Sus scrofa: one gene and its partner. The protein of the gene in region 2 purifies or fractionates together with the protein of the main gene of each other region. This does not show direct contact. Links are inferred from orthologs where the notes say so. Each region holds a gene or a part of one and is shown on either strand. Other genes may lie near its edges. The genes, in order: HSP90AB1 and BLK.

The links.
Region 1: the proteins of BLK (region 2) and HSP90AB1 purify together in Homo sapiens (affinity purification with mass spectrometry; 3 studies listed by BioGRID and IntAct, with this or other methods). This does not show direct contact. The link is inferred for Sus scrofa from reciprocal best matches to the Homo sapiens genes BLK and HSP90AB1.

Annotation. Positions count from the first base shown.
Region 1 is NC_010449.5:39,240,005-39,250,197, reverse strand, and holds the start of HSP90AB1 (heat shock protein HSP 90-beta), read right to left. Parts: upstream 6,425-10,193; 5' UTR 6,183-6,424; intron 4,804-6,182; coding exon 4,657-4,803; intron 4,366-4,656; coding exon 4,159-4,365; intron 4,058-4,158; coding exon 3,898-4,057; intron 3,754-3,897; coding exon 3,620-3,753; intron 3,527-3,619; coding exon 3,218-3,526; intron 2,544-3,217; coding exon 2,378-2,543; intron 1,926-2,377; coding exon 1,735-1,925; intron 1,628-1,734; coding exon 1,480-1,627; intron 1,353-1,479; coding exon 1,084-1,352; intron 546-1,083; coding exon 212-545; intron 97-211; coding exon 1-96. UniProt on the Homo sapiens protein: Molecular chaperone that promotes the maturation, structural maintenance and proper regulation of specific target proteins involved for instance in cell cycle control and signal transduction. Undergoes a functional cycle linked to its ATPase activity.
Region 2 is NC_010456.5:14,684,840-14,694,690, reverse strand, and holds the start of BLK (tyrosine-protein kinase Blk), read right to left. Parts: upstream 6,203-9,851; 5' UTR 5,568-6,202; intron 1-5,567. UniProt on the Homo sapiens protein: Non-receptor tyrosine kinase involved in B-lymphocyte development, differentiation and signaling. B-cell receptor (BCR) signaling requires a tight regulation of several protein tyrosine kinases and phosphatases, and associated coreceptors.

The DNA of each region.
Region 1 (10,193 bases), on a different chromosome or scaffold from region 2:
CCATGCGAGATGCATCCTCATCACCCTCGAGCGGGGGGATCTCATCAGGAACAGCAGCACTGGGCTCCTCTGCTGTCACTTCGTCCTCATCAATGCCTAGAAAGAGGGAAGAAAGAATGCCACTTGAGATCTGGCCCCAAAAGCATCAAATCTGTGTCCACCAGGCTAATTCTCCAACTCCTCGCCACACCTACTGCGCAAGGGTACTTACCCAGGCCAAGCTTGATCATGCGGTAGATGCGGTTGGAATGGGTCTGGGGATCTTCCAGCGAGAAGCCAGAAGACAGCAGTGCCGTTTCAAACAGCAGCACCACTAGGTCCTTGACAGCCTTGTCATTCTTGTCCGCCTCTGCCTTCTGTCGCAGCGTCTCCACAATGGGGTGGTCAGGGTTGATCTCCAGGTGCTTTTTGGCCATCATGTAGCCCATGGTCGAGTTGTCCCGAAGTGCCTGAGCTTTCATGATGCGCTCCATGTTGGCTGTCCAGCCATAGGTGCTGGTCACAATGCAACAGGGTGAAGACACAAGCCTGTTGGAGATGGTCACCTGTGGACAACCACAAAAATCTTTGGTTTACCTTAAATCAAAACTACCTCAAGGCAAAAAACGGTATTTTGAAGTTCTATCCTTGGGAAAATAAAGCCTCATCTTTGCCAAGTCTTAGAGCAATGACAAACTTTCCCAGTAAAAGAACACAAAAAACAAAAATAAAAGTTCCCATTGTGGACCAGCGGGAACAAACTCGACTGGTGTCCATGAGGATTTGGGTTCAAACCCTGGCCTTGCTCAGTGGGTGAAAGGATCTGGTGTTGCTGTGAGCTGCGGTGTAGGTCGCAGACATGGCTTGGATCCAAAGTTGCTGTGGCATAGGCCAGCAGCTGTAGCTCTTATTTGACCCCTAGCCTGGGAACTTTTGTATGCTGTGGGCGGGGCCTGAAGAGAGGGAAAAAAAAAATCTGCCCAGTTAAGAGAATAAAATAGGATGGCTCTAAACAAATAAGGCTGCGCCAAACCACTAATCGTGTAGCAACCAGAAACTGAGGGCAAAGCCCTGAAAGCACTTACTACTCCGTTCACTGCTTACCTTCTCTACTTTCTTATCCAAGATCTCTTTCATGAGTTTGCAGAGGTTCTCAAACTTGGCCTTGCTCTCCTCCATCTTTTTCTTCTCCTCCTCATCCTCAGGCAGCTCCAGGCCCTCCTTGGTAACTGAGACCAGGCTCTTCCCATCAAACTCCTTGAGCTGTTGCACACAGTACTCGTCGATGGGCTCTGTCATGTACACCACCTCGAAACCCCGCTTCCGCACACGCTCCACAAACGCAGAGTTGGCAACCTGCTCCTTGCTCTCACCTATAGGATTATTAAATGTGACTCAAGGATCAGAATGCCCCAGCCAGCCAGCTCCCAGGTATCCCTGTGTCCTCCCCTTCTCCTAACACCTGAGAGGCTTTGTGGTCAGGCCCTACGTTCCACTCACCAGTGATATAGTAGATGGACTTCTGGGTCTCCTTCATGCGTGAGACGTACTCTGAGAGAGAAGTCATCTCATCGCCAGACTGGGAGGTATGGTAGCGCAGCAGCTCAGAAAGGCGCCGCCGATTAGTGGAGTCCTCATGGATTCCAAGCTTTAAGGGTGGAAAGGGAAAGTCTTACTAGAAAATAATTATCCCCTACATGAATGAAAAACAGCCATCTTCATCATTAAAAAAGCAAGCATTTGCTGTCTGCTTACCTTTAGATTTTTTGAGAAAGCCTCGTAGAATTTCTTGTAGTTCTCCTTGTCTTCTGCCAGCTCAGAGAAGAGCTCCAGGCACTTCTTAACAATGTTTTTACGAATGACCTTCAAAATCTTGCTCTGCTGGAGCATTTCTCGGGAGATGTTCAGGGGAAGGTCTTCAGAGTCAACCACACCGCGGATGAAGTCTGAAATCAAACATGGATGCTCAGTTAGACACCCCCCCTACAAAAACAAAAAAGTATACACCGCCATCCAGCTGCACCAGTTACACGGCAGAGGACCCTTAGCTTCAGAACAAAGGCTTCATCAGAGTTCCCCATCATGGCGCAGTGGAAATGAATCTGACTAGGAACCATGAGGTTGCAGGTTCAATCGCTGGCCTCGCTCAGTTGGTTAAGGATCTGGCGTTACTGTAAGCTGTGGTGTAGGTCGCAGACTCAGCTCGGACCCTGCGTTACTATGGCTGTGGTGTGGGCTAGCAGTTATAGCTCTGATTTGACCCCTAGCCTGGGAACCTCTCCATATCCTGCAGGTGTGGCCCAGAAGAAAAAAAAAAAAAAAAAAAAAAAAAAAAATCAAGGCTTCAGTTCCTTTGAGAAAGCTGAGACCAACTACATTAGGCAGAGAAGGTACTCACTGAGGTACTCTGGTATCAGCTCATCGCAGCTGTCCATGATGAACACACGGCGAACGTAAAGTTTGATGTTGTTCTTTTTCTTTTTGTTCTCAAAGAGGTCAAAAGGAGCCCGACGGGGGATGAACAGCAATGCTCTGAATTCCAACTGACCTTCTACAGAGAAGTGCTGTGAGAGAAATCCAAGATAAGCCAACTGTGTATTTTAAGAGTGGCTTTTGTCCCAACACCAAATTAAACTATTTGGGGAGTTCCCGTCGTGGCGCAGCGGAAATGAATTTGATGAGGAAACCCTAAGGTCGCATGTTCAATCCCTGGCCTTGCTCAGTGGGTCGAGGACCGAGGGTTGCCATGAGCTGTGGTATAGGTCACAGATGTGGCTTGGATCTAGGGTTGCTGTGGTGTAGGCTGGCAGCTGTAGCTCTGATTAGACTCCTAGGCTGGGAACCTCCATATGCCGTGGGTGCGGCCCTTAAAAAACAAAAAAATTAAGTTATTTAAAAAAAAAAAAAACTATTTGGAAAAAAAGACCTTCCCCCTTAAGCACCAGGAATAGACTAGACTCTATGGTAGCTGTTGAGAAGCCCTAATAATGCCCTAAATGAATCCAACATAGTGCAACCTGTACATAATCCTTGTGTTAACGAGGAAATAGCCAATTCAGAATGCTAGATGGGCAAAGCTGCCAGAGACACAGTGAAGTCCCTGGAGATGTCATTCCCCTGCCCTGGAAGGGTCCATCAGTAGGTGAACTCATGGCATTCCCAGTTCCCAATCAGTTGGGCAAGTGCCACTTGCCCATTACCAACTCTTCCTATTGCGCCAACAAACAAGGCTTCTTACCTTGACTGCCAGGTGATCTTCCCAGTCATTGGTCAGGCTTTTGTAGAACTCTCCATATTCCTCCTGGGTGATGTCATCAGGGTTCCTGGTCCAGATGGGCTTGGTCTTGTTCAGTTCTTCCTGATCAATATACTTCTCCTTGATCTTTTTTGTCTTCTTTTTCTTATCTTTGCCACTATCATCCTCCTCATCTGAGCCCACATCTTCAATCTTGGGCTTCTCCTCATCATCTTTATCTTCCTCCTCTTTATCACCTTTCTCTTCCTCTGCCTCATCATCACTGATTTCTTTCTCACGTTCCTTCTCCAGCTGCAAGTATCAAAGATGAAAATTTCAGACTACAGAAAATAAAAAACCAAGTGTCTCCTGCAGCAGACAATTGAGTTACCAGTTCATACTCACATAAAGTGTGATGGGATAACCTATGAACTGTGAGTGCTTCTTTACCACCTCTTTCACCCGTCTCTCTTCTAAGTATTCTGTCTGGTCCTCCTTAAGATGCAGAATGACCTTGGTACCTCGGCCAATGGGCTCACCTAGAAAGTCAATCAAAACGGAGTGAAAAAGAAAACTAAGTGCTGAACAACAAAGACCAATGTCTCACCATTAGAATGCTCAAGATCTTTACCACTGTTCCCTCAGAATTCTATCCCCGACACCCAACAGGAAAATCAGCCTACCATGGTCAGCACGAACTGTGAAGGAGCCCCCAGCAGAAGACTCCCAGGCATACTGTTCATCATCATTGTGCTTTGTGATCACAACCACTTTCTCTGCCACCAGGTAGGCAGAATAGAAGCCAACACCAAACTGTCCAATCATGGAGATGTCTGCACCAGCCTACCAAAAAGTTTTAAAAAGTCAAACACAAGTTTTGAAGAAACAGCAAACTAAACATCAATGAATATGAATGGTGCATGCCTAGCTGAAATACCACATACCTGAAGAGCCTCCATAAATGCTTTAGTACCAGACTTGGCAATGGTTCCCAAATTATTTATGAGATCAGCTTTGGTCATGCCAATGCCTGTGTCTACCAGAGTCAGGGTGCGCTCCTGGGGGTTGGGGATGATGTCAATTTTCAGCTCTTTACCACTGTCCAATTTGGAAGGGTCTGTCAGGCTCTCATAGCGAATCTTGTCCAAGGCCTGAAAATACAAATTGCAGTTTTACAATTCTGCTTCCACCTCATCCAATAGAAAAAGTTTTTTCCTACTCCCAGATAACCTCATTTCTGATAACCCCTTTCATTTGAAGCTTGAGACGTACATCCAGTTAGAGTACGCCATCTATCCACATAAAGCAAGGCAAAACCTTTTTAGAATTGAAGTTTATATTCCCTTCAAAAATAAAACCCACAAAATGCCCAATCACCCCTCTCCTTCTTTGAAGTACTCGAGAAACAAACAAATGCCAATGAAGACGCTCAGGGAACTCACATCAGAAGCATTACTGATCAACTCCCGAAGAAAAATCTCCTTGTTGGAATAAAAGGTATTGATGATGAGAGACATGAGCTGGGCGATTTCTGCCTGGAAGGCAAAAGTCTCCACTTCCTCCTCGCCATGGTGCACTTCCTCAGGCATCTAAAATAAGAGAGATGAAGAACTTTGGACTCAAGTTCACCCCAATTACAATAAAGACACTAAGAGGTTCAGTTCAAGTTGTTCTGAACCGAGTACTGAGATGCAAGACCTTTCCTTTAAAGACTTCAGGCTGCGCCCTCAGTCTGAGAATAAGAGGGGCGGGGGGGGGGGGGGCTGCTAATACAGCCCCCAAAATGCCTTAAGGTCTCTTAAGCATTTTGTTAGGATGTTAGGCGATCCATCCACGGATCAGCAGCCTCTCATCACCTGGTAATCTCTTAGGCATGCAGAGTACCTCGCCCAACCCCGGTTTCTTAAATGTGAATAAGCAGAAGACCTACATACATATTCAAATGTACAAATTAGTAACTACGGTTCTACCATTTCTGGTGGAGGGGAGGGAGCCCCCCCCCCAAACAGACCAGTTTTACCTTAAAGGGGCTATCATTTGAAACTGCTCTCCCTTCACCTCCAGGAAGATGTGAAATTGCTACCTCACGTGGTAAGGGAGGCTAACGCGAGAGAATCGTGGGATACCCACTTGGGATGCCATTAAGACAAAGAACCGATAAAGCAAAAGGCTCCACTCTGTCCCTGTAGCACACGTGACTGAGGTACAGGACCAAACCAAATACAACTAAGATGGTGGCGTAGTCCGCGGGGCCGACGCTCGTCGATGCCGGACATGCGTCGGCCAGGACCACGCGAGGAGGGGGCGCCACCGCGCAGCCTCCCTTCGCCTCAGCATCCGGGCACCAGGGCGGGGCGCCGAGTTCCAGAACCTTCCAGAACAATTCCAGCCAACGGGGAGAAAAGAGGACGACGAAGAAATGCTCCCATAAATTCTCAAGCCTGCCTCCTCCGCTACCCCTCCACCCTGACTGCAGGAATGAGCTCGAAGCAGGAAGCACGATGGGCCACTGGAGCTCCAAAGCATCCTTTGCCGCAAACCCTCACACTAAGGACTAGAAAAACTCCCTTCTATAAAAGAGATGGCAAAACCTACCCAGAACCATGCTGTGCTGAGTCACACCGGGCCCGCACACCCACCAACCTTGCCCACCCTCTGGCGCCCCGTAGTCGCGTCCGGAAGTAGAGGGGCAAACATGGCAGCGTCCCGGGCCGGCGCGGCTACCACGTGTAGCCGCCCAGTCCCCCAGCCCCACTCGCCCAGGCCTAACAGCCGCCTAGAAGGCCCGACACCAAGCATGGAAGGAAAAGCTAAACTCGAGAGCTCCCTTCCACCCACCCTCTAAAAAAATTGGGAGCGTTGTCCAGCAAACCGCCCCAGCACGACAAAAACTTGGGTCTCAGAAAGGACAGAATGGACGAAAGCAACCTGAAATTTAACCAGAAATGCCTTAAGAGTGCAACCTTACCTTAAAGGATAAGGATCACAAACACCACAAAGCTGAGCGGGGAAGGACTGCCTCCGGCTCTCACGCCAGAACAAGGCTGCGCGGGGGGTGACTCAAGAGAACGGCTGTGAGACCCCAGTCGCTTTATATAAGGCGAAGCACACCTTCGCTGCCCGCCCCCAGATCCCTCCGCCTTAAAGGAGGCTGTCTGTCAGCCCCGCACCTGCCGCTGCCCGCCCACCTTTACGTCATGGTCCAAAATAGGGGAGGGGGCGGTGAAGAGCAAGGGCGCGCATGTGTAGACTTTTTCTTAGTCCCATCTCCGCGTCCTGAAGACAGGACACCACCAGAGCTAGATGTTGGGTATACTCATAGGACAAATGCCGTGGCTCTAGGGAACAGAATCCCCGCTGACCTCAGTAAAAACCTGTAGAGCAGGTGCCTCCACACCAAAGAATCCCAGAGGAACACCTGAAAGGGGACCAACTACTCCCACCTATGCTCCCTCCCTGCTACAATCTTCCTTACACATTCCTACTGCCCAATAAGGGGAAAGGGTCCTTTCCGGGGACACTGGGGAATTTGAAGCCGAACTTTGGGCAGCCCGCGAACCCTGGCACTCCCAGGGGACAATGGGCAGTGCCAGCGTCTCGCTGCGGGGCGTGGCTTCCGCTGCTAGAAGGTCGCCGGCTCGGGTGTGGAGGGCACTCTTTGTCTGCAAGCGGCGGAAGGAGCGACAGTGGCGGTGCTGCGATCTTCCAGCAGTTTCCAGATCCGCCTCTACGGTCCTGTCCCGCCCCGCCCCGCCCTCTTCCCTTGGGGCTCCACCCCTTTTTCTGCGGACTGGGCTGTGCCTCTGCGGCGGCTCCGCCTCTCCAACGTTATGCTTGAATCTCCGGGAGAGGTGGGCAACTTCGATCCTATGTTGCTGGCGGGCAACTACACCCGGCACCCTCTTCGCCACCCGCCAGACCCAGCTCGCTCAGCATTGCGTCCAGGGTGGGGTGGAACAGGGATGATCCCCCCTTTCTCCCCCGTCAGTCACACAGCACACGGGTTATTGGGGCGGCTCTGCGAGAACCGCCTTCGGAGCCGAGACTGAGGGTGGCGTCGCTACCTGAGAAACCCTCCCCAGCCTCTGCAGCCGCCCACGCGTGTCGCACGCAGGGGCATGCACATACAATCTGGTTTCCTTTTCTTTTTACAAAAATTCTTTCCCCTCCTGCAACTGTCTAGGTCTGGGGAGGGGAGGATCTCCAGGGACCCCCGCTGGGTGGCGGGGGTTCTAGGAGGTGGCATGAAGACACCAGCGCCTTCATGCTGGCCAAAGGGCTGCTCGCTCCTGGCGGGCAGAACCAGGTTGTTCCCCTTCAGCTGCTGCGGCGCCGGAGCCCCCAAGCCAAGCGCCGGCCCAGCTGCCTCGCCTGGCCCTGCCGCTTTTGCTTGCCTTCGGGGCGGGTACGCTGTCCTCGCCTTTCCAAGGCCTCATCTCTGGAGCTCACCCGCCCCACAGCCCCTCCGGGAGAGAATGACCGCTCCCTGCGCCGTGACCTTGTGGATGCCCAGCAACTCCCTCAACTCCCTTCGTGGCCCACTTTGTCCGCCCCTGGAATGCTTGGGAGAGGGATACCTCCGACCCGCAGACCTCCCTCGGCAGCCCTGGTGTGCAGTCTTGTAGCACTTCTTTGTCCAGCTGTTGAACTCCAAAGAACAAAGGACCCTCGCGTTCCTTTTCCTTGCCCCACACTCCTGACTTCATCACCCGTGCCACCCCTACCCCGATTTCATGATTTCATCTCTCCTTACTCTTCCACTGCTCTTCTGGTCTAGAAGAAGCCGGTGGCTGGGAGAACTCAAGGAATGTGGGAAGGGGCCTGAGTGCTGCTGCTAGGAACGCCCCAGGATGCTCTGTTCCAAGATGGAAACGGGGAGCATCGTCCCCCAACACACCCTCCCTCCCTCTGGGCAGAAGGGGCCTAGCTAATCAAACACCTGCTCTCTGGTTCACATAGAGCATTCACAGCTCACTGTCCCCTGCCGCCTGAAGGGGTAAAAGTGAGTCTGTGCGTTCTAGGAACCGGGAGAGGAAGGCTTCAGGGAGTACCGCAGGGTGGGTCACCTCGGAGCCTATGCTCCCCTAACGCCCTTGCTCCCTGCTCCAGAAACGGTGTGGGGACGGGTTCCCCTCCCAGGACCCAAGCCCAGGGTGGAGCAAGAATCACTCCTGTCAGGACCAGAACTCCTCAGGGGGGGTTCTAATGGGAAAAATCTCAAATCTCTTACACCAGCACAGAAATCCTACCTTCTCTTCTGGGAGTCTTCCAGGATGGTTTCTCCAGCTCTTTGACACTCACTCAGCCCCCACTGTGAGCTTTGCCTGGGGAAGCAGAGATGCATAAACAGGACAAGGCACCCTCAGCCCACTGGGGGGAGCTGCAGCAGACCAAGTGTGAAGCCTGGGAGACGCATCAGTTTCCCAGCACGGCCTGGGGAAGAGGGCGGGCTCGGGGCTAGCCAGGCCCGGGGGCACAGGTCTACTCCCAGCAGAGGAAAAGCATGGAAAGGCACAGCACTGAGAGAGGAACCTCAGGGAGGCAGGGACTGAAAGTGGCCCCACATTCCCAGGTCAGGTCACAGAGGGCCACAATGCCATGCTAAGCAGTTCTGACTTTAACTTAGGATGAGGGAAGCCACTGAGGGCTATTAAAGATGGCTTAAACCCCCTGGATCTCCAGAGGCCTATTCCCAGCATCACTTGCAATCCTTTATGTTCCTAAGATACCCTTTTCCCAACCAAGCTTCAAAGACCCAGCCCAACCTGCTGTTGGAGAGTGGCCAGAAGAAGCAGCACTCACAAACTGTAGTCTGCAGCTGGGGGCATTTGTTTTCATGTGGCTAATGGATAAGAATGCTTTTTCCGGAGTTCCCGTCGTGGCGCAGTGGTTAACGAATCCGACTAAGAACCATGAGGTTGCGGGTTCGATCCGTGCCCTTGCTCAGTGGGTTAACGATCTGGCGTTGCCGTGAGCTGTGGTGTAGGTTGCAGACGCGGCTCGGATCCTGCGTTGCTGTGGCTCTGGCGTAGGCCTGTGGCTACAGCTCCGATTCGACCCCTAGCCTGGGAACCTCCATATGCCCTGGGAGCGGCCCAAGAAATGGCAAAAAGACAAAAAAAAAAAAAAAAAAAAAAAAGTAGAATGCTTTTTCCTTTTTTCCTTTTTTTTTTTTTTTTTTTTTTTTTTTTTTTGCTTTTTAGGGCTGAACCTGCAGCGTATGGAAGTTCCTAGGCTAGGGGTCGAATCGGAGCTGCAGCTGCCAGCCAACACCACAGCCACAGCAACACCAAACACAAGCCACATCTGTGACTTATGCCGCAGCTCAAGGCAGCACAAGATCCTTAACCCACTGAGCAAGGCCAGGGATGGAACCTACATCCTCATGGATACTAGTTGGGTTCATTACTGCTGAGCCACAACAGAAACTCCACTTTTTCCTCTCTTTAATGGTTGAAAATAATCAAAAGATATTTTTGGCAGGTGAAAATTATATGAACTTTGAGTTGTGTTTGCAAAGTTTTACTGAAACACAGCTATGCTCAGCTCATTTGTTTACATGTTATCTTTGGCTAGTTTCATATTGGGATGGGGAATTGTGACATTACACACACACACACACACACACACACACACACATCATGGCTACACCCTCAGCATATGGAAGTTCCCTTGCCAGGGACTGAATCCAAGCTGTGACCTATGCCACAGCCATGGCAACACTGGCTCCTTTAACCTACTGTGCCTGGCCAGGGATCAAACCCAAGGCACCAAAAACACACCAATGGGTTAACGCTGTGCCACAGTGGGAACACCATCTTTTTCTATTTTCTTAACTTTAACACTCAGCACGTTAAATTTCAGCTTTTCCCTTTTCTGGCATAAGGATTTAAGGCCATAAATTTCTTGTCAAGAAAAATTTTAGCTGCCCTCCAAGTTTCAGTATATAGTATTTTTATTATAATTCCATTTTAAGGAT
Region 2 (9,851 bases):
AAATAATTTTATATTTATATAAAATTATATAAGTTAAATAAATTAATATAATTATATAAATTATGTAAATACAGTTATATAAATCATATACAAATTCTACAAGTATAAAATATAAAAATTTTATATTTATATAAAATAATTTTATGTAATCTTTGGAAGAGTATAAGGTGGAATAACTGTAAAAATAAACAATTAGGCTTTTTGTCTCACTGTAATAGACTCTCAGCTGAATATTTTACCATAGATTGGTCCTCTTGGTAAAAAAATTAAGAATGGTTCTATGTTCTGTACACAGAAGGGGAGATAATTCTTTTTGCTCAACCTCACCATGCATCAAGTTCTTTCCAAAACTCTGTCCTGTTTTTTCATTTTTATTTTTACTTTTAGGGCTGCACCTGCAGCATATGGAAGTTCCCAGGCCAGGGTCGAATTGGAGCTGCAGCTGCCAGCCTACACTATAGCCACAGCAACACTGGACCTGAGTCACATCTGCTACCTACACTGCAGCTTGCAGCAATGCCAGATCCTTAACCCACTGAGCAAGGCCAAGGATCAAACCCACATCCTCATGGATACTAATCAGGTTCTTAACCCACTGAGCCACAGCGGGAACTCCTGTCCTGTTTTTGTTTTCATGTTTATTTATTTCCTGATATTTCCAAAAAGATTTGAGGCCACTTACAAAAATAAATAGGTGAACTATTACATTTAGAATGGATAATCCATGAGGTCCTGCAGTACAACACAGCAAACTATATTCAATCTCTTGGGATATGATGGAAGATTATACAAGAAAGGGAATGTGTGTGTATATATATATATATAGGTCATTTTGCTGTCCAGAAGAAATTAGCACAACATTGTAAATCAACCATACTTTAATTTTTTAAATGTAAAATAAATAAATAAATAAATATGAAATAAATACATAAATATGAGAGAAAAATAGATGAAGAAATCAGAGCAAAGGATAGGTTAGGGCAGGAAAGCAAATTTGGCAGTAAGGCTGGTACACAGAAATACAGACCCTGAGATGGGGCTACTTAACTGTTCGTGGCTAGATGCAAATTTGGCTCAAAGTGTCTTAGAGTCTGAAGTCACGGGAGAGAAGTGATCAATTGGAAGAGCTGGTATCGGTTGCTCAGTGGGTTTCCCAGGTCTGAAGTCTGAGAGTAATTCTCCCGTGGCTCCTTTTAGGTGTTCTGAGGCCTATGGTGGGCGGCAGAGGTGGGGGTGGGGTCTCAATAGCATCGCAGCAGTGACGCCAGGTCCTTCCTTGTTCCTTCCAGGAGCCTTGAGCATCCGCCGAGCACAGCTCGTCCTCTCCAAGAAGGGGGCCTAGGTCTGATTCACAGCGCTATTCCCTGAACGCCCCAGCCCTGAGATCCAGACATGCAGCTCTCACACCCTGGGGAGCATCTCAAATACCTAGATTCTTGTCTCTCGATCTTATTACAAACCCATTTCCTCTTTTGAGAAACGAAATCGCACTGTCGCTTTTCGAGATTTCAAGACATAAATACTGTGCCTATAAGTAAATCTAAGATGTTACAGTGTGAAATGTGCCTTTTCCCATTACAAGTACTCCTCTTACGTGGAGAATTGATCAGAACCTAGATGGAAATACTGTGTCCTCTTCAGTTTCAACTCATCAAAGAATTAGGGCTTTGGGGCGTAATTCTTATGACACTGTGATGTGCTATTATCAACAAATAGAGAAATGAGCCTAGAGAGTATATGTCATTTCTGAGGTAGGTAAGGACACCAATATAGACTGAGGTCAAACAACTGTTATTTCAGGAAGAAAATTAGTGACTGAAATCCAAAGTCCAGAAGCGGCAGGACAGGGCCTTGAACTTAGGCCCTCCATTCTGTAAGCTGAGGCACCTCACCTCTCAGGCACGGCTACTTGTCTTTCTCCTGTGCCTCCAACTTCTCGTACCTACAGCACAGCGAGAGACAAAGTATCCTTCCTAAATACTGAACTTGGGGATTCCAAATATTTTGGGGTGAGCAGATCCTTTGGGGAATCTGACCAAAGCCATAAACGCCCTTTATGGCAGAACGCACGTGTCCACAAAAACTTGCATACAAGTTCAGAGAGTCATAGACCCCATGACACTTATCAGGAGTCTATGACCTCAAAGTCAGAACACCTGATTTAATCCACTTAGCACTTATCGCCTCGTACCTGTGTATACACAAGTGAACACACGCGGCCATCCCCTGCACATAGGTGACCTTGAGTGGGAGCAGCTCTTTAAATTCTGCAGCCCCAGAGCCTCACCTGCCTCACCCTGGTCCCAGAGCAGCAACCCAGGTAACAAGGTGTGCAAAGAGGCAGCAGAGTGGTGGTGACAAGCACTCAGAGAACCGCTTTCTACCTCCATGGTTTCGGAAGCATCACCCCTTGGGTGAGGGAGCACCTGTGAGCTACACAGCAGCCGATGGGGAGTCCAGGCCTCTCAGGGACAGCAGGGATGGGGATAGAGCCTCTGTACTCCAATCACCTTGCTCAGTGTAGCTCTCACTCTGTGCCTGGAGCTGGGTGCAACTGTTCCCACTTCACAGAGAGCTGGACCATTTGCTCACACTCCCCCAGCTCCTCAGACGGCAAGTGGCAGAGCCAGGTCTAGGTGTGGAACTGGCTGGCCCTGAAGCCCAGCGCCCTCCTCTGGCAGGAGCATAACATGCCAGAAACCTAGTTCACCCCATCTCTTTCTGCAGGACCCCCCCCCCCCACCGCCGCCCTCCATTAAAACTCCAGTGTGGCAATGGCCTTGGAGCTCAGTATGGCAAAGGTAATGGGAAATCTCACACGCTTTTTCTCCTTCAAGCTTTCCTCCTCGTGTCTTGACCTTCATTTGTGTTCACAAGTGTGTCCTTATTTCTTTCATTCAAGAACCATTTCACAGGGTGCCCACCCTGTGGCAGGCAGTGTTCTGGGTGCTGGGACCGAGAGTTGGACGGAGGGAGGGGCTTATCCCTATCCTGGAGAAGCTCAGGTCCAGAGGGGCAGCAGAACCGCAAGCAAATAGCCCTAAGCCTATCCTGGAGGCCATGTAGACACAGGGAGGGGTTTGGGCACTGCTGACAGAGGAGAAGATGTTGGCACGGATCCCAAGAATCAGGCCAGTGGGACTTGCCTGGGTGAGAGAAGGGGGAGGGAGCCCAGGCAGAGGGACAAGCAGGTGCACAGCAGGTGCGTTCCCGAAGAAGTGGGGGAGCAGGAGATGCGACAGGAAAGGGACTTTAGGCCCAGTGGTAATCAACACTTTTCAGTTTTGATCTTCATCTAAGTGTTATGATTTTCATCTAAACACTATCTCCCCACAGCTTCATAATTCTTTCTTCTTTCTTGCTTGCTTCGGAAGCGTTTCTCTAATCTCGCTGAGACATCGCCTTTGAACAAGAGCACACCTGCTCTGCCGGGCGCGCGCGCGCGCGCGCTCGTGTGTGTGTGTGTGTGTGTGTGTGTGTGTGTGTGTGTGTGTGTCTGTGTCTCTTATGGGCGGGGGTCGGGCTTCTCTGTCTTCCAGTATCTCCCCAAACATCCTTACAAGGAAGGATGCTGCCCCTGGTGGTTGCATCTTGCTACTGCAGGTTCTAGGCAGGCCGGTGAGGGAGTGGGAGGGGGGTTGGTGCTCAGAGGCCAGGTTGTCACCCAAGCAGGAGCTGGCTCTCAGGGTTCCCGTCCTACTCTATATCCCTTAAGCCACAGCATCGCTCACGAGGGAGTTTTCTAGCACAGCTCACAGCACAGCACACATTCTGCGGATGGCTGAGCCCAGAGCACTGCAGATTCCATCTGGATATGTCACGCAGGGGCTGGACACTGACCGGCCTCCACGCTCAGCGCTCGCTTCCTCACTGGGGAGGGGTCGGGCTCAGCGCTAGCTTGAGGCACAAGAGCCTGGTCCCACGCAGTGAGCCCCGCCCGGAGACCGAGATGGGGTCCTTGGCCCTAAACCCCCTGACACAGAGTGAGAAAAATAAATTTCAGAAGTAACAGAAGAGAGGAAAGCATAGAGCTTTCTGGGAATAAGGTGAGGGCTGGGAGAGAGAATGGTAAAAAAAAAAAAAAAAAAAAAAAAGCCAGAACTGCTGTGTTCCAGAATGTTCAAAGAGAAAGTGGGGCCCAGGATGCCAGTTTTTCTAAGTATGCTCAGGCTTTGACCATTTTTGATGCAAGGCAGGATGAGCATAGTTTGTTTGTTTTTTAGCTTTTTACTTTGGAATAATTTTAGGCTTACAGAAAAATTACAAAGATAAGATAGAGACTGCTTGCACATCCTTCACCCAGCTTCCCCCAATGCTGGCATCTTACTTGACGGTGGCACATTTGCCAAAACTAAGAAAGTCGCATCAGTACAACGATTGTCATTAATGTCCAGACTTTATCTAGAGCTCACCTATTGTCCACTGATGACTTTGTTGTTGCTCCAGGATTCCAATCAACCTGGATGTGAATTTCCTATTTATACCCCTCTGATATTGGACAGTTTCCCCATCTTTCCTGGCTTGTCACAACCTTGGTGATTTTGAGGGTCAAATAGTCTGTAGACTGTCCCTCAGTTTGGGTTTTTCTGATGTTTTCTCTTGACTTGACTGGGATTTTGGGTTTGGGGAATGAATAGTACAGAGGTGAAGTACTTTGCTCTGTGCAGCCAAAGTCACACAATAAAGACATCATGACTGATCTGTGGAGGTGCTGACCTTGACCATGTGGTTGGGGCGCTGTGGCCAGGATCCTCCACCTCAGCATTACCATTGCCCTCTCCATTCTCTCTACTAAGACCCATCCTTTTCAGGCTGAGGGGATTCCAGCTCCCTGCATCTATCACTTGGGATTCTTCTCTATAACTACGGAAGTGCAGTGATAACAAGTCTTTTGGTCCTTGGTAGTGTGGGCAGTTGAGGGTGAACACAGTGGCCAGTTAGAAAACAACTGGAAAAGTTGTCAAAACCCTAGAACTTTAAAAATCCTCTTAAAATATGTTATCAACTCTTCTTGCCTTTTCACAGTTGGCTACATAGATCTCTTAGCCAAAAAGGCCACGGCTAAACCTATTCCATCACCCCACCCCACCCATGTCTGAAAAATGGAAAATCTTACTAAAAAAAAAAAAAATGAAAGAAAAGCAGCGAGTCATCATTGACCTTGAGCCAGACACTGCCATGCATCTCTGCCGGCCTCCAGCAGCTCTGCACTGTGGCATCCTATATCATGCCTTAGAGGGAGGCTAAGTGACTTGTCCCGAACCCCCAGGTGCCCACCCATCTCCCACCCGCAGCCTCCTCCTGTCTTTCCTCTGCAGCGCCTTCACTGCCTTTACTAGCTTAGAAAGCCTCACCCTAGATGGATGAGCTTTTATAAATCAAAAAAACTCTCTAAAATAGAAATGAACAAACAATAGAGCCATCTATACACGGGCTCATGGGAACATCTTCTCTGTAGGGTACCACCCATAGCGATGTTCCTGCCCGATGTCCCACCTACAGGCTCCAGGCACTGTTTGCATCATCTGAGGAAAGGAGACAGCAGGAGGGCGGCAGACGCGACTTACCTTGGCAGTATTCAGTGGCCTCTCACCATAGCTCTTCAGATCCCCCTGCCCTGCGGTGCAGTGACCTTCCAGCTACAGCCAGCGATTCCCGAAGCAATCCTGAAGGCCGAGCCCATCCCGGGCGCCTTGATTAGTACAGCGGCTCGTGGCTTCCTGCCGTCGGCAAGCACCCAGCTGAGGTGGCAGGCTCCCCGGTCTGTGGTCACAGCTGCCCCCAAGGAGCCCCGCCCCTCCCGCCAAGCCCTTTGAAAGCTTCCGTGGGCTTACTGGGTCCAGGAAAAGCCTATGAAGAAGGACCATGAGCAGCTGGTCTTCCTCTGGATGGGCCACGTCCGTCACAATGCCCCGCTGCCCCCAGAACGTCTTCTATTGGGGTTTGGGTTCAACAACAAGGATGGTGTTTTTCCTGCAGTGAGCCTGGCAGAGTTAGTAAACCTCCAAGCTAACTCTGCAAGGTGTTGGGCTCTGCCTTGCGATGTTTGTCGGCCAGCCAAGGAAGAGCTTGGCCTCTGCTGCCTGTGCCACGTACGTAAGCAGGGCAGCCCTTCTCCCAGGCTCGCGGGTTTTGTGTTGTCTTCTGAATAGGCCTGATGGTCCTTAGCCCGTGAGGTACAAAGGGCACAGACAATGGAATGGGTGAGTGATGGCACAGAACTGGCTAATTCCCCGTTGTTTACAGCATTCTAGCCAGTCCTCAGTTCTGAGCTCAGAGCCTCATCAATTATGTTACTTTACTCAGCTGTGACAACGCAGAGGTGCAGAGAATGACGATGGTGATGGGGAAGGGCCCTAACATCTCAGTCCCACTGGCTGAGGGACCAGCAGGTCCAAGAAGCCTGCTGAGATGACCTCTGGAGGCTTGCTGGTCCAGCTGGACAGAGTGAGTCACTGGCCACCTGCTTCTTTCTGACCCATGGACCAAAGGGGACCAAGAGTCTCCTCTCCTGCCTTTACATCACAGATGGTGGGAGTGGGGAGGGAATTCAGACAGGTCTGTATCTGCCTCTACTCCTGACCTGGGACCACAGTCCAGAATCTCTGCTTCCCCATGGAGTTTCTCTCCTTGGAGCTTAGGACTAAGACAATAAAGCTCTGTGAATTCCTAGTAAGAAAGAGCTTTTTGCCAGGTGTTCCTAGCAACCACAGCAGCAACAGAGTTCTTGGGTTCTAAGCTTCCTTAGAAACAATCTGCTTCATTTCTCCCAAAAGGCTTTTGTGAGAATAAGTGAGTTGATGTATAAAAAGTTTCCATTACAATCTTTAGCATAGTAAACTCTGAATAACCGGTTGCTGACATGAGCATGTCATCTAAGTCCCAAATCTGATCTTCAAAAAAACCTGCTTTGTCTTGTTACATCCTTGAGAGCAAGGGGCTCAGAACAGTGCTCAGACATGGCTGTGCTCAGTGAATCGTAGGTGTTATTAATTATTTTTGAATTCACTTCCTGACACCTGACTTACATTGGACCTAAGCATTTAAATACAAGTTCAAACACTCCCAAACTCCTGAAACTTATGATTTAAAAGCTACTGATTTGAGGGGAGATTATTCGGTTTTGTTATTTCAATTCAATTAACACAATAAACTTTTGTGATTGTTGCTTTGTGGGTAAGCACACATTAGAGGCTAGGGGCACAGCTCTCAGCTCTAAATAGGCAAGCCTGTCCTTGGAGGGGCTCAGACTAAAGAGGCTGGGAAGGGGTCTGGTAGAGAGAAGACTATCATGGGGTGTGGTAAGCGCAGCCATAGATGCCTTTATGAGGCACAGTATTGGAACAGGGGCAGAAACAATATCTCTATCAGGGGTTATTAGGGGACGTTACCAAGGAAACTGCTTTGAACACAGCTTGTCACTAAGGATCCTTCAGACTCTCAGAGGCAGATACCTGTGCTGAGATCCCCTTTTACTGACCAAGGGTCCAGTGACACGGACTGAATTACACCTAATGTATTTTTGTTTGTTTTCTTTCTTTCTTTTAAGGTCTGCACCAGTGGCATAGGGGTCCCAGGCTAGGGGTCGAATCAGAGCTGCAGCTGCCAGCCTATGCTACAGCCACAGCAATGCCAGATTCTTAACCTACCGAGTGAGGCCAGGGATTGACCTGTGTTCTCATGGATACAGTCAGGTTTGTGACCACTGAGCCACAAGAGGAACTTCCTGGTGTGTGTGTGTGTGTGTGTGTGTGTAAATCTTTGGGGCTTAAATTAGTGGGTTTTGAACAGCCCTTATACATTTGAATCTGAGGATACAGAGAAGACAGTGGGAAGCAGGGACTCCACCTTTCTACAGAAAAAATCCATTCCCCTTAGACTCTGACTCATATATTCAAAGTTAGAGTGAAAGGGGATGTGAGAAGGTTGCAGAGAAGGCAGTTCAGGTAAACTGGCTTTCATATGATCTGAGGAAAAAGAAACTTTACCTTTCTGTCCACCCCCAACAGACAAGTCAAAAAAAAATGGATCCAGCAGCCACTCAGAAAAGAACAAGGAAATGACCTTGCTCTTGGGTTTCTTGTTTGAGCAGAAGTGAAAGTTCCTTGCAGCCATTTTCACCCTGGCAGAGTCAGAGAATCCATGAGAAAGGGAGATAGGCTGGGGGAGGTTGGGAAGGACCCAGGGGGAGAAGATGGGAAGCCGCAGGACATGTTAGGTGAGGACAGGGGTGTCCTTTGCAGAAACTGGTGTTAGAGAACCTCAGTGAGGGCTCTGAAATCCCCAGCTCAGCGTTCAGCTTCACTGGCTCCCCCATTTATTTTTGCACATTTGAGGTGCCTTATGCAAAACCCGGAGCTGTCCTTCCGTGCGTCTTCACCAGCCTTCTGACATCAATACATTTCTGGAAAAAAAAAAAAAAATCAAAACTGTGAGCAATAGAATATTTGAATAGAAGAAACATTAAAAATAATCCAGTCCAAGACTGACTTAGGAATGGTGGTGTGAGAAGCTGGTTGATTTCCCTCTAAAAAAAAAAAAAAAAAAAAGTATAAAACCAGATAAAGCTGTCAAAACCAACCATTGGAAGGCACTGGAGCAGGACCAAAGGCAGATGACAAATTGAGACGTGTTTAATCTTGAAAAACTGCTCCTGTATCAGAATGGCCAAGAATCTGTGGCCTTCTCACTTAGAAGTTCTACCTGCCCCCCAGCCTCACACTTCAGCTCGGGTGATAAGAACCCCAGCTTCACCTGTGGGAATGATGGGCTTGTTGGGTGGCTGTTTGTGAAAACCAGCCACCAGCTGGAAGTGACAGATCTGGTCTGGAATGGGGTGATGAGAACTTGCCGTTTATGGGTTAAAGGTCATGGAATCGAGACCCAAGTTCAAGACCCAAGTGAAAATCTGCAGCTTTACTGGCTTGAGAATGTAACCTCCGCTCAGAATGGGTCAAAGGTCACCCAGGCAGGTTAATGAGGGAAACCCTGGAAGTCAGAGAGCCACGAAGGGGCTGAGATAACAAACACCCCATGCGTCCCTGACTGACTCCTAAAATACACACGAGTCAGGGAGACCAGAGTGTAGAAAAATCGAAAGCCCAGGGAGACCTGAGGACTTAATGTAGATTTGCATTTACTCCTCCAACCACACACAGCTCAGGCAGCAGAAGGCGAAGGTTTATGTTCAAGGTTTCTGAGCATAACTCCTGCGAGGTAATTGGCTGACCATTAATAGTGCACAAACAGGGGATGCTTTTAGGGAACCAGACTAAAAACAAAGTAAAATATTAAATGTAAAAGCTGCACAGTGATATCAATGACCACACACCATGAAGAATACCAACTTTGCAATTCAAATACAGAAAAGCTCATTTTAAAAAATTAACAGGAGTTCCCATCATGGCACAGCAGAAGTGAATCCGACTAGGAACCATGAGGTTGTGGGTTCGATCCCTGGCCTTGCTCCACGGGTTAAGGATCCTGAGTTGCTGTGGCTGTGGCGTAGGCCAGCGGTTACAGCTCTGATTGGACCCCTAGCCTGGGAACCTCCATTTGCTGCAGGTGTGGCCCTAAACAAGCAAAATAAATAAATAAATAAATATAAAACTCTTTGCAATTCTCCCTTAAAAAATTCACAAAATAATAACAAAAAACTAAAGGAAATCATTCTGACTGAAAGAAAATGATACCAGATGATAACCGGTTCACAAAAAGAAATGAAAATCACCAGAAATGGCAAGTTTGTGAGTAAATTTAAAAATATATAATAATGTAATATCTTCTCAATTTAAAAAACACATATGGTTGCTCAAAGTAGAAATTATAACGTCATACTGTGGGTTTGTAAT